2 linked regions of the Neurospora crassa OR74A genome follow. The protein of the gene in region 2 binds, or shares a complex with, the protein of the main gene of each other region. Links are inferred from orthologs where the notes say so. Each region holds a gene or a part of one and is shown on either strand. Other genes may lie near its edges.

What was found.
Region 1: NCU02661 (region 2) and NCU08030 share a complex: the UniProt entries of both Saccharomyces cerevisiae proteins name them as parts of the RNA polymerase II (Pol II) complex. The link is inferred for Neurospora crassa OR74A from reciprocal best matches to the Saccharomyces cerevisiae genes RPB7 and RPB8.

The regions. Positions count from the first base shown.
Region 1 is NC_026504.1:3,965,475-3,971,025, reverse strand, and holds NCU08030 (UDP-glucose 4-epimerase Gal10), read left to right. Parts: upstream 1-2,814; 5' UTR 2,815-2,975; coding exon 2,976-3,322; exon of another isoform or gene 3,323-3,412; coding exon 3,413-3,524; 3' UTR 3,525-3,825; downstream 3,826-5,551. Other genes in the region: NCU08032 (tRNA-splicing endonuclease subunit sen34), read right to left, coding at 1-723; NCU08031 (paxneb protein superfamily), read right to left, coding at 1,337-2,506; NCU08029 (thiamine pyrophosphokinase), read right to left, coding at 3,826-4,795, 4,949-4,995. UniProt on the Saccharomyces cerevisiae protein: DNA-dependent RNA polymerases catalyze the transcription. of DNA into RNA using the four ribonucleoside triphosphates as substrates.
Region 2 is NC_026501.1:3,098,447-3,104,772, forward strand, and holds NCU02661 (DNA-directed RNA polymerase II polypeptide), read left to right. Parts: upstream 1-2,455; 5' UTR 2,456-3,028; coding exon 3,029-3,277; intron 3,278-3,345; coding exon 3,346-3,426; intron 3,427-3,504; coding exon 3,505-3,674; intron 3,675-3,739; coding exon 3,740-3,755; 3' UTR 3,756-4,600; downstream 4,601-6,326. Other genes in the region: NCU02660 (DUF962 domain-containing protein), read right to left, coding at 774-1,229, 1,301-1,384, 1,533-1,565. UniProt on the Saccharomyces cerevisiae protein: DNA-dependent RNA polymerase catalyzes the transcription of DNA into RNA using the four ribonucleoside triphosphates as substrates. Component of RNA polymerase II which synthesizes mRNA precursors and many functional non-coding RNAs.

The DNA.
Region 1 (5,551 bases), on a different chromosome or scaffold from region 2:
ACCGAAGCGCAGACCTGGAGTGATGAAGTATCCTCTCTCGTTCAAGTACGAATACAATGGTAGCGCAGTGTGGTTTTCTACATCAGGATTACTTGTCCCGTTAGAAATCATGGCATTGCTGGTGGTTGGAGTGATTGCAGGTAGCTTCTCCTTGACCAGCGGCTTCTGAGGAGGCGTCGACGCGTCCGTTTTGAGTGGCTTGGATGATGACGACTCCAAGAGGAATTCTGCTCCTCCTTCTTCTTCCTGATCTACGGCGGCCGCAACGCCATCGGCAGATGATGCTGACAGCGGCAGTTCAGTGGGTACGACAACAGAGGGCTGTGGCTGTTTCGGCTTGCGCTTGTCCTTGTGCTTAGCCATAGACTGTGCCTTGGCCTCATTGAACACAAGCTGGGCAGTTCTGCGCTGCGTCTTGATAGACTGCAGGTATGATTTGCGCGTCTCGTCATCCATTGACTTCAACTGGGTCAAGTGTTCTAAAGGGTCATCGGCAATGTAGGCAACCTTTCTGTCCAAAAGCATCTTGGCATCCTCGGCATACAGCTCGAGCGGCAATCCTAGGAAGACATTCTGAGTGGGATTCTGCGGCATGGTGCCCGTGAAAACAGCGCAGATGCCATGCTGGCGACGGATATACGCCACATCATCAATATCAAAGACGAGGTACCGACCAGCGATCTTGGAGATCCGTACTTGTCTGTCGTCCTCGGTTGATGACATTGTAAGTGTGTGAAAACAATGAAGTGCCTAATTTTCTCTTGGTTAGAAACAGTTCTTAAACCGAGCTTGCGTCGTGTGTGAACAGGAGAGATAGATTGGCCAAAGGATCAGAAGCCTTGGACAGCCGTATTTATCATCACTATGAATCAGGGGATTGACAGATTGATACGTTTGTTGTTTCATCATGAAATGACCAACTGGGAAGTGTGCAAAAAGAGCTGTTTTGACTTACCAAAAATGCTGTTGTTGGACACGACGACACGAGGAGAGAAAGTGGGAAACTTCTGGGCGGAGGTGCGTGGGCTTTTATCGCGCCGTGGCAGAAAACGGCGGAAATTTGGGCGGTGAGTCCACGACCCCACACATTTTCCTTGAGCTCCACCCCAGGTGTTGCTGTACGCCCGTAGGTAGCTCCAGGCGGGCGTCCACCAATGGTTTCAGTGGCTCGAGTGGACTTACAGCGTGCCCAATACCTGGGCAAGTAAAGAGACGGGAGTTTCAATGATGATCAAGAAGCTCACCTGAACATATGATGAGACTGCCAAAAGGGGGCCAAAAAAAGTCGGTTATTTGCAAAAAAACAAGCCGTTAAATTGCCAAGCGGAAGATGACTTTAGAAATCAAGCCCATCCTTCTTTGGAGCAGCTGAGGGCTTCTCCTGCTCATCCTCGAGCATAGGCGGGAGACTGTACGGTTTGATCACCAAGCCCTTGGATGCGCTCAAGCTGAATGACAGGTTCTCACGGAATTGGCCCGACTCTGCTCCTCCACCACCCTTCTCATGATACACAGGCAGTGTGTATACTTTGAACATACCCTGGGGTTGCTCGTTTGCCTTGGGATCCGACCTTGAGGGCGGCGGTGGCGCGGCACCTAGCCTGGCAGGCAAGGGGATGAGCTCGACGACGCCGTCACAAAGAATTTCTATCCACCGGACCAGGCCTGAACTGCGAGGGAATAAGGACGTCGGGAAGGTAATGATTGCTGTGAGCTGGGTGCTGTACAGTCGAAGGAGAGCCCGGAGCCCATGTAGAAACTGTAGAACCTCTGATGGTTGGGCGCATCCAGGAGGATAGAGGGTTGGTGAGAGGAGACTGGGCACCACCAGTCTATGAATGGCGTTTGATCCTGAGCTCTCCAACTTGGCCCGCAATTGCTTGAGAAGCATCTTCAGAGGAGAAGCTGTCCCAACACTTTTCCGGTCTAAGCTCGGGGAACCGCCAACTGAAATCGGGTTCAGAGTACCCTTGGACTCGGAGCTGGCAAGCCTCTTGCTGAGATCAAAGGAGTGACAGAAAGGCGCTCCAGAATCCCCACGAGCAGAAGCTCCTGCATTGGCGTTGTTACCCAAGGACTCATATCTCCACGCAATCTTCATCTTCTCTTCGGGTGCCGGCGCCGGTGATGCACTCTTTGACTTCTTGTCAGGTGAAGCCAGCCCTGGAAGCTGATGCCTCCATTCTGGCGGAAAGGCTACTGCGTGAACCTGATGCCCTTGGACGAGACCCTCGGCAGCATAGTACCGTAGAAGAATTCCAGAGAAGTCGGTGGTCCCTTGCTCCTCAACCAGTAAGCATGTTCCTAAGGGGAGTCCACCGTGTCCTGCAAGAAGTTGGTCCAGGGAAGCAGTGCCAGTTGAAGTGGTCAACCTGCCATCAGTTGGTGATGGTCGAAGACCCGGCGCAAGCTGCGTTTCCTGTTTGGGTTGCTGCTGCTGGGGAGCGGACGGCGTGAGTCCGGCTCTCGGTGAGGATAGGACGGTGTTTCTTTTGACGAAGGACATAGTTCAGTCGGCAAGTTGCAGTCCTTATTTGAGTATCGAATCCAAACTTGATGATGTTGAGGTATGTATTCTTCAAGTCCAAATATAGTCGATTCGATCCCTGGAAGAAATTCCATGGAAGCTTGGACGTCACTGGAGTGCCTGAGAGCCCCGCTGTACTTTTGTCACACACTGGACGGGCGTGACAGGGATTTTCAATGGTGGTTGCCCCACTACTTGCCCCGGCATCCTGGTCCAATTGCCGCAAGGCTGGAATTTTTTGGGACGGCAACTGCATGGCGGCATCTCCATCGCTCAGTCGCATCTCCAAAAGTTTCCCCAAACACCATCATTACTACCGCTCGCGACAATTCGTTTTACCCACCTATCGACACGCGTTTGATACTCGACCAAAATCTGACACTAGTATCCTTCCGAGCAATCAATATCCAACATCGACTGTTTCATCGATTCCACACCAGCATTCACAATGTCCGCCCTCACGTCCGACGCCCAACTCTTCGAGGACGAGTTCAAGGTCGAGAGAATCAGCGATCCCAAGTACGACCGCGTCGACCGTCTGTACTGCACCTCCGTCGATGGCCAGACCAGCATGCAGCTCGATGTCAACAAGGAGCTCTTCCCTGTCAAGGTCGGCGAGTACCTTAGAATTGCATTGGCTACTTCCTTGTCCCTCGACGGTAGCAAGGACGACGAGAGGGGTTGGCGCGATGCTGCCAAGCTCGGTAGCGTTGAGCAGACCCTGGCCGACAGCTATGAGTATGTCTGCCATGGCAAGGTCTACAAGTTTGAGGATGGAAAGGATGGCCAGACCATGTAAGTTGTTGCCTGGGAATTGGGCAGGAGTATCTCGACCTTGGAATTCGGGGAAAATGAGTGGCTGACTGGTTCGGTTGCGAAATTTAGCAAGGCGTATATGTCCTACGGTGGTCTTCTGATGGCCCTCGATGGTCCCTACAAGAAGCTCACGCCCCTGCGTGTCGACTACGTCTACCTCCTCGCCAACAGGAACGCTTGAGAGCTGAAATTTCCGGAGAATAAAAAATTGAAAAAAAGCAAATGTTTCCAGCGGCTAAATAGCATCAGACCGATCAAGAGTCTAGGGCGCGAGCAACATTCATTGGATCTTTGGAGGGCGAACGGGCGTTTAAGGTTATGCGTGGACCAGAAAAGGCATATCCTAGGGAAAAGGGGTCTGGGGAAAGTAATGAATCAACGATACCCGGAAAGCAAGTACCTGTATTTATGCCGCTACCGAGCCAAGGGCTGTCCATCTGCCTTTGGAAGAGCTAGTGCCCTGCGGAAGGTGCTCGATGGATTCAGGCCTGATGAGGACCGGGAAAGGCGATGTGTCGATGAGCCCGGTCACGAAATGCGTCGTAATGCGGCTCGTTTTCAGGCGTGTAAATGCCGTGCCGAACGAAGAAATCGAGCATGACGACGGCACAGTTCGGCTTCCACATTCCCTGGGCGAGCTGTTTCTGGATCTCCTCCACTGTGCACAAGCTGAAGCTCTCGACCTCGCCGTCTTTTGGCTCGGGGACGACACTTCCATCCGCAGGTAGCTCTAGATCATAAATCCATTGGCATTCCGGGTAGATCAACCCCGCCTCGCCTCCCGCGCGCTCGTCCGTGATGTAGATATAAGTGATGGTGCAGACCTCTTTGGCGTTGTTCCTCACGATATGCTCGGACAGTGAAGCCTCTTCGTCCGCCTCACGGATGACGCATTCGAAGGGGTCTTCGTTGGTCATCAAGCCACCCGCTACCGCGTTGTCCAACATGCTCGGATAGGTCGATTTGGTCGCGGACCGCTTGGGAACCCAGATTCTCAAGTCATACTTGCTGCTGGCATCCTGACGTCTGATGAAGGCGTTCATATGCACGCCGTAGCGTGTGGTTCCAAAGAGGCCCATAGCTGCCCGCTCTATGCTGAACACGAGCTCCTTGTTGCGACCATAAACTGGCCACAGCTCGTTTCGCCAGCTCTTGAGGATGGCAAATGCCTCTTGTTCACGCCAAAGCGCAGTGAGCTTTCCGACAAGCCGAGTGCGTTCCTCGTAGGTTTTGTCCGGGGCATCACGGAAGAGCACTACAGTCCTATTAGAGACATCGATGTGCAACCCTAACTGTCCTTTGAGAGTTGCCGGGGCTTTGTTGAGTGCATCGACAACGTCCAGCTTCACGTAGCCTATGGGTACCTGACCCTGCTGGTCTTCCCAGACGAACGTGTAGAAAGACTTCATGATCTGGGCATAAGCCTCGGGATCCCGGTCCGCGTAAGGGAAGCTTGATTTTTAGAGATAATGTAAGCGCTCGTTCTGGTCATGTTCGGAATCCAGGTAGGCCTTAGATCCGTTCACTGAAGTTCCATCTAAGTTCCTGGGCGTGAACACAGAGGATTCGGTTTCACAGAAAAAAAATAAACAAATAAATACGTACGCATCGACTTTAGCCACCAAGTCGAGGGTGGACAACCGAGGAGTCATGGTTTGGCAACGGGTTCCCGAGACCTTGGATAATAGGGCGTGGTCACACGGGATCGAGTAATGCAAATGAAGCCGAAAGTCTGGATTTGTTGACTTGAGCTTGAGAGGCACAAGTGAGAGGATGTTGTCAAGGGAAGAGAGCGTGGGGAAGCAGATATTGGCGTGCGCTAATCTCCTGTCGTTCGGGAGCGCAATTGAAGACCGTCGGGAATTGGGAGGGGAGGAACATGAAGCATCTCAAATTAGGGAGACAGCATCAACAGGGCAATTCTTCACTTTCAATATATTTGAATCAATGGAACGAATTCGTGTTTGAGGTTACAAGCGCAAGTGAATTAATTGATCTCATATCGTCTTTCCTTCAGATAGTTCAGATGACGAGACTCGGGACAGAACTTATGGAAGGATAGAAATCCAAAAAGCCCCTGTCGCGTGTTGAGGCGCTTTGTAGCGGGGAAAGAGCAGTTTACCACAGGGGGTCACAATGGGGCAACGAACAATCCTCATTGAAAGTGGAAGTTACAGACAAGGACTTGGCCTTTCCATCCATGTCATT
Region 2 (6,326 bases):
GAACCTTTGAATCTAATTGTGGCCTTCCTCGCTCAGCTCTTCGAGGTGGCTTGTGACGGAATGTAATTCCGATGATTTTCCTTATTCGATCTAGGTTGTACGCTCTTTGGGGTGGACGGGAGGCACTTGGCAGTCCTCCCTCACATTGCATGAACCGCAGCCTGGCAAAGCAGTAATGATACAAAGCAGCCGCATTGGTCTCTTGGTTGAAAATCAATGACCACCATCTCTAGTGACCGTCTACCATGAGTACTTCGTCATAACTCCCGTTCATCTTCTGCTTCTCATGAATGACTTCGACGTGGGGGACTTTCTGCTCTAATTGACCTTAATTTGACGTGTTATAGGTCTCTAGAATCTCAATCGGTTAGACAGCCGATATCAGCTTGTCAAGTTCAGTGATCCTTCTGGCCATTTATTATTATTCTCTAATGTACAGTAAAAGTGAGTCCATAGACTATCAAAACTCCCGTTTGGGATCAGACGCTAACAACCTCAGCAGCGATTCCACATCTCAATCATTGAACCGCGTGTTTGACAAGCAAGTCTTGCGCTACAAGACCGTGATAAAGACGCGGGCCAGTTCAAATCCCGCTCAAACATCGTCCACGATATCATTAACCTCAGAGTCGAGTCACAGCTGCTCATGCCTGTCGTTGACATCGTTGCATGACATCTCTACCCCTGAACCCGCCCCTGACATAAATCCAACTCGTCACCTCGGGGTTCTCTCCTAATCTGGCAGCTGGACGGTAAAGGATGCCGAATTTCCCTTACTGCGCCTTCTTCGCGTTCCTGCTCTCCCGGAATTTGGCAATCTCGACCGCCACCGCCTTATCCACGCGCGTCTTGAGCTCCGGGCGGTAGCCCAGCATGAACAAGAGTTCAAGCCAGACAAACAGCGGAGCGAGGAAGATGGCTTGGAAGAGGTTGTCCAGGAGGGCAGGGGCACGGCCCTCAAATTTGCCGTGGCCGAGGAACTGCGCCAGCCAGCTCACAATGTGAACGACAATGGCAACCTTGGTGGTCAAGACTGGGTCGGCAATGCGAAGATAGTTGGTGAAGGCGCAAGCACCGAGGCAGATGAGCGCCAATGCGGTGCCGGCGACCGGCTCGAGGAGAACGTATAGTCCGCCCCATGTCAGAGCCGCAAAGGTGCCCAGGTTTGGCTCTAGGTACGGTACCTGAAGCCAGGAGGGGAGTGTGAAGAATGGTCCATAATTGGAGGCCTAGTTTGGAAGCATGAGGCGTGTGAGAACATGTCGCTAGGGACGAGGGAAAGTGGTTCAAGAATTCATACAATTTCAAAGGCTGAGAAGAGGATTAAAGGCACACAAATCATGTGGATGACTACATTAACGTGATTAGAGTGGTAAGCACCATACTGCAAGCAGGGAGAGGACAAGTTAGCAAAAGGCTCCAGTTCGTGAATTTCGAGCGAGGTGAAGTGGACGAAACAAGCAAGGGTGCCCGAGCAGGCCGACTTGGAGCATGTAGGTTAGAGCTTGGTAAACTCAGGCAACAAAGCTTACAAAGGTGAGTTGCTTTTCTAGGTTGAGGGACATGGTGAAAGTGATGCTTCGGATTTGCCCGGTATGATTAGGTTGGTGCTGTAGACAGCCTTGAGGTTCAGGGTGTGAATGGATGGCGAGATCTCGCTCAGTTCCGTGAGACCCGAGACAGGAGAGCGACAGTAGATGACAAGTCGAGTTGCGTCGAGGGCGACCAGTGAAGAGAGGAAATGAATCACTGCCACATGTGTATAAACGAGCAACAGGTGGAATTGGTAGTGTTCGAAAAGCAGAGCGTGCAGCTAATGAAGACCAGAGAGCGGCGGGATCTGGTGATGTGGGAGTCTGTCTGGTGTTCCACTCCGCATATCCATCTTCATATTCTCAGAGGGCTAAAAGCTACGTGTGGATGCCTCGGTTGTGGAGTCGCCATCAACAGGAACAAGGGAACCTGTTAAGGCTCCCGGCCGGCCCACCCCCGCAAACCCTCCAACTCGACGGCCACAGCGCTATCAAACGCATGCTGACAGGACCCGAACGTGCCCCGCCTCTGTCGGTGCTCCTACCGACGCGGTTACCTCTCGGTCAACGAACGTTAACGTCACAACCTAAAGTGGAAGGCCAACAGCTGTGGTGTAAGAAAGGTGATCAATCGTGAGTTACCCGTTTCAAGTCTTGTTTATGAGCGTTCTCATCTTTTGGCTTCTCGAACCACCATACTGTCTTTGCTGTGGCCATTCGAATCTTCCTTCTTAGACATCATTCGACAGTCTGTCTTTGTCACATGTTGAAACGGCATGAGCCATGGTACCTTTACTCGAGCTTACAGCTACATGAACGACTAAGGAACGCTGGGGGCTGGTAGAAGACACACTCCCTTAAGAAAAACCCGCTACATGATAGTACAGCAGATTATTTCACAAGCCTTACAACGAGCATCTTATGCCTGGTCTGGTTGAATGATATGATGGAATTGGGATATTTGGTGTTGAAGTTGTGGACAACACCGAATCCCGGCAGCGCCAAGACCGCTTCCGTGTGGTCAGTGCTGTTCCTTGCAGATTGTGCACGAGCCATGTGCTAAACGTCAAGGGACGAGTGACAGGCCAAGCTCGCAAGGCAAAGTCCCGAAACCGCGTCTGCGGCGGTCTCTGTGTTGGAGGCTACCACTTCCAGAACCTCCAAGCTTTTGTTCCATCATAGTCGATATCTAGTGTATTCCGTCAGCCTTGCTCTCCCGTCACGACGTCTCCCCACAAAACCAAGTATCACCTTCGACACGATCCCTACACCAACATTCTTGCTGTCGATTTTCGCATCTCGCCCTCACTGTCATTTTCGTCCCGACACGCGACTTCAATTGCCCAAGTCTCGACAGCACTGCCGCCGCCGTCGCACCCCTCGACACGACAGCCGCGCGAAGGCATCCCGAGGCGCATAACCTCTCCAGGGCATCGTCTTATCGACGCCCACTTTCAGCCGACGACACCCCGATCCCACAGTACTAACCCGCCACAATGTTTTTCCTCCATAACCTCGAGCGGCGGGTTACCCTGCATCCATCCTATTTCGGCAGGAACATGCACGAACTTGTCACGACCAAATTGGTCAAGGACGTGGAAGGGACGTGTGCCGGTGATTACTACATCATTGCCATCATGGATGCGTTCGACGTTAGCGAGGGCCGCATCCTCCCCGGAAACGGCCTGGCCGAGTTCACTGTGAAGTACCGTGCTGTGGTTTGGAGGCCGTTCAAAGGCGAAGTGGTTCGTTACAGCGAAGATTCTCGGTGGTGTTCTCTCCGTTCGGATGGTCTAACGAGGAGTCCCTACAGGTGGATGCTATTGTCTTTTCCATCAATCCTCACGGCTTCTTCTGCCAAGCTGGCCCGCTCTCCATCTTCGTTTCATCTCACGTACGATGACGCCTACGGTCTTTTTGGATACGCACATACGATGCCCTCGAACTTCGATCGCTGACAAGAGAACTATAGCTGATGCCCGAAGAAATCCACTTCGACCCCAACGCGACGCCTCCTCAGTTTACCAATAACGCTGATATGGTCATTGAGCCCGGTACGCACGTGCGCGTCAAGATTGGTGGCTTAAGAACGGAATTGGGTGAGATGTATGCCATTGGCAGCATCAACGGAGATTTCCTTGGGTGAGTTTCCACGTCTTAGCGGCGTGGTTGTGCTGTTTGTTATTAACCAGTTTCTTCCTTTCCAGGTGTCTGCAAGCATAAGGGACTTGCAAGATGCAAGAAGGTCATTCCCAAACGAAGGGTTTGGACTCGCTCAACTACTACGAGGTACTCGCTCAACAGAATCCTAGTGAAGCCACGAGTTAGAGTATACCCTGGGTTTACATCAACAGTTCTGGTCGGCTGATGAAGCCTCTGGCCCGGTCAAGAAGCAAGTCTTCTGGGCAATGCTGAAAGCCATCCGTATCGAGGGCCGTTTCAGGATCTCTGTGGCGGTTTATGAAGGATCATGTTTGCCCCTTAGCAGCGCGTGGGCGGCAATATGATCGAGCCCCTTGTTGTATTGCACGCGGGAGTGCGGCGGTAACACGCTCAAGGGCTTTCAAGGAGATGTCTCGTCCGAATGAGACTCAACGGGGTTGGTATTTTTGTCATGATTTGCTTGGGGTGCGTAAAACCTTTGTCTGTGGCGTTTTGAGGCATTATTGGGGCCACAAGCGGCGCCTGGAGTCTATTGACGGTTTTTTCTTTTTGAGGTATTTGCAGCATGCTTTCTGTGTTTGAGCGTGATTACTGGTATTTGGGTAACTGACATTATCGACGTATCTGCGACATGGAGGACATGTCGCTCTTAATACATGGGCACATGATGATGTCTTCAGAGTTTTGCGGGTACAATGCCTCAAGGTTCTCGGGTGCTTGGCTTAGACTGACCAACAAAAAACGACTGTCTGCGATACCACAGAGGGCATCTCGCGCGATTGTACTTAGAGGGAATAATCCTTGTTCAGCTAAGGTGCTCAGTTACCATGAGCAAAGACAGTATAAGAGACACCGCAGCACTCGCTTGGCTCATAAACTCGACTCCCCGGTCTATCTCCTGAACGTCTTGACTAGGAAGCATTCAGTCTCGGGCTATTATACCATGTGATGGTACCCAACGAGGTGGGATGTTGTGATGGCTCAGTTGCCGTGGGGGGAAACCTCCCATTTCAAGCTGACAACTTGGTGCGTGCCCATCTACGATCCTCCCGCAACATTTACAAGGACCTTGAAGCACCATATCTCAATGGTTCCATAATCTTCAACGAAGCGCGGGGGTTACGCAGCAGTGAAGACGTGGGGAAAAGAATAAAACGACAAGGGGGGAGGTTCATCCACTAAGTCGTCGAGTTGATACTATGCAGTAAACGTTTGGCCGGTGACCTGTCCATCGTGAGGCTACGATATCTCTTGACTTTGTGGAAGAATAGTATGGCCGAAATACGTCGGGCGAACTAGAGCAGAAGGGGGTAACAGTGGGGGCCAGATCGGTGTGAAGAAATCCCCAGAATGAAGTAAAGCGGAGGCGAGAAGTTGAATCGGGGTGTGGGCATCAAACACCAAAGAAAGAAGGCCAAAGTTGGAGGAGGATATCTGGACTTGTACCAAGTTGTCATCATATCCATTTGGGGTTGAATCTGCTACCTATGCCGCTGGAGGTTCAGCTATAATCCCATTCCACCGACGCGGAGAGGCTTCCGTGCCGCTCTATTTCATCTCATGTTCCCTCTATCATAGAGGTATCTTTAAACATTGCTGCACTTGCTATGATTGTAATACAATAGGAAAGCCATCGACGTTGTGCTACCATCTCTTTTTGTGTTGTTGAAAAACTTTGGAGGATTCCGTGCCGGCAATGTCTCTTTGGCGCCTTTTAAGCTGTCATTGCTGTCAGGACCCGAAAGGAGGCTGTAGATCATGCTGAGAGGTGGAAGGGAATTGAGAGTCGACTGCCGTGCTCAAGACAAACTTTTAGCACACAAAGTAGGTATGTTCGTCACTGATATTTTTTTTGACCAGTGGTCTAGGGGATCTTGAACACTGCCCGGTGTGATATTTGCATATATCTGGGCATGCACCTACACCCTATACCCTCAACTCCTTGTTTCGGTGTAATCACATCATCCAGGACAGTCAGTGGTACAGTGTCAGTACGTCTTACCCAGCCTAGATCCTGCGTCCCCAACGGGAATAGCCTCAAAACCCCGGCGTAGAGTAGCAATTCGCCATCGATTTCTCCGAGAGGATGGCGCTTTCCCACTCACCCTAGCACTCGCGATTTGCCGTGCTTTTCCATCTGCATTGCCATCGACGACTTGGTCTTCCCTTTCCCCCTCGAATACCCATGCGGGTGTGGGGGTTCGCATTACATGGAGGATAGAGGGTCGATAAAACCCCCATTTAGGCTGCGAAGAAGATGAAGGGCTGAAAACAGAAGAAAACGGGACACCACCTATAAATGGACAGTATATCACACTCGCCTGACCGCAAAGCGAGCTGGAGGGGACATGTATCGAGCAAACCCGCAGCAGCTTGTAAGGGGAGGCACAGCCATTGTCAATCCCGCCAACCAAGGCACGATGTCGTCAAACCCATTCCGATGGTCTTCGGCTTCCGGTTTCAGTTTCCATTTCATTTCTTTCGTTTCCGTTGCTTTTCAACCTCTTCACCCGGCTTCCGCTATTCCATAGAGGTACTGTTGGATTCTTCGTCCATGTAACTGTCTTACCGGTGTGGAGTTATTCCGGAGCCGAAATGGTATTTCAATCGACGTCGGTTTTTCCTGCCATT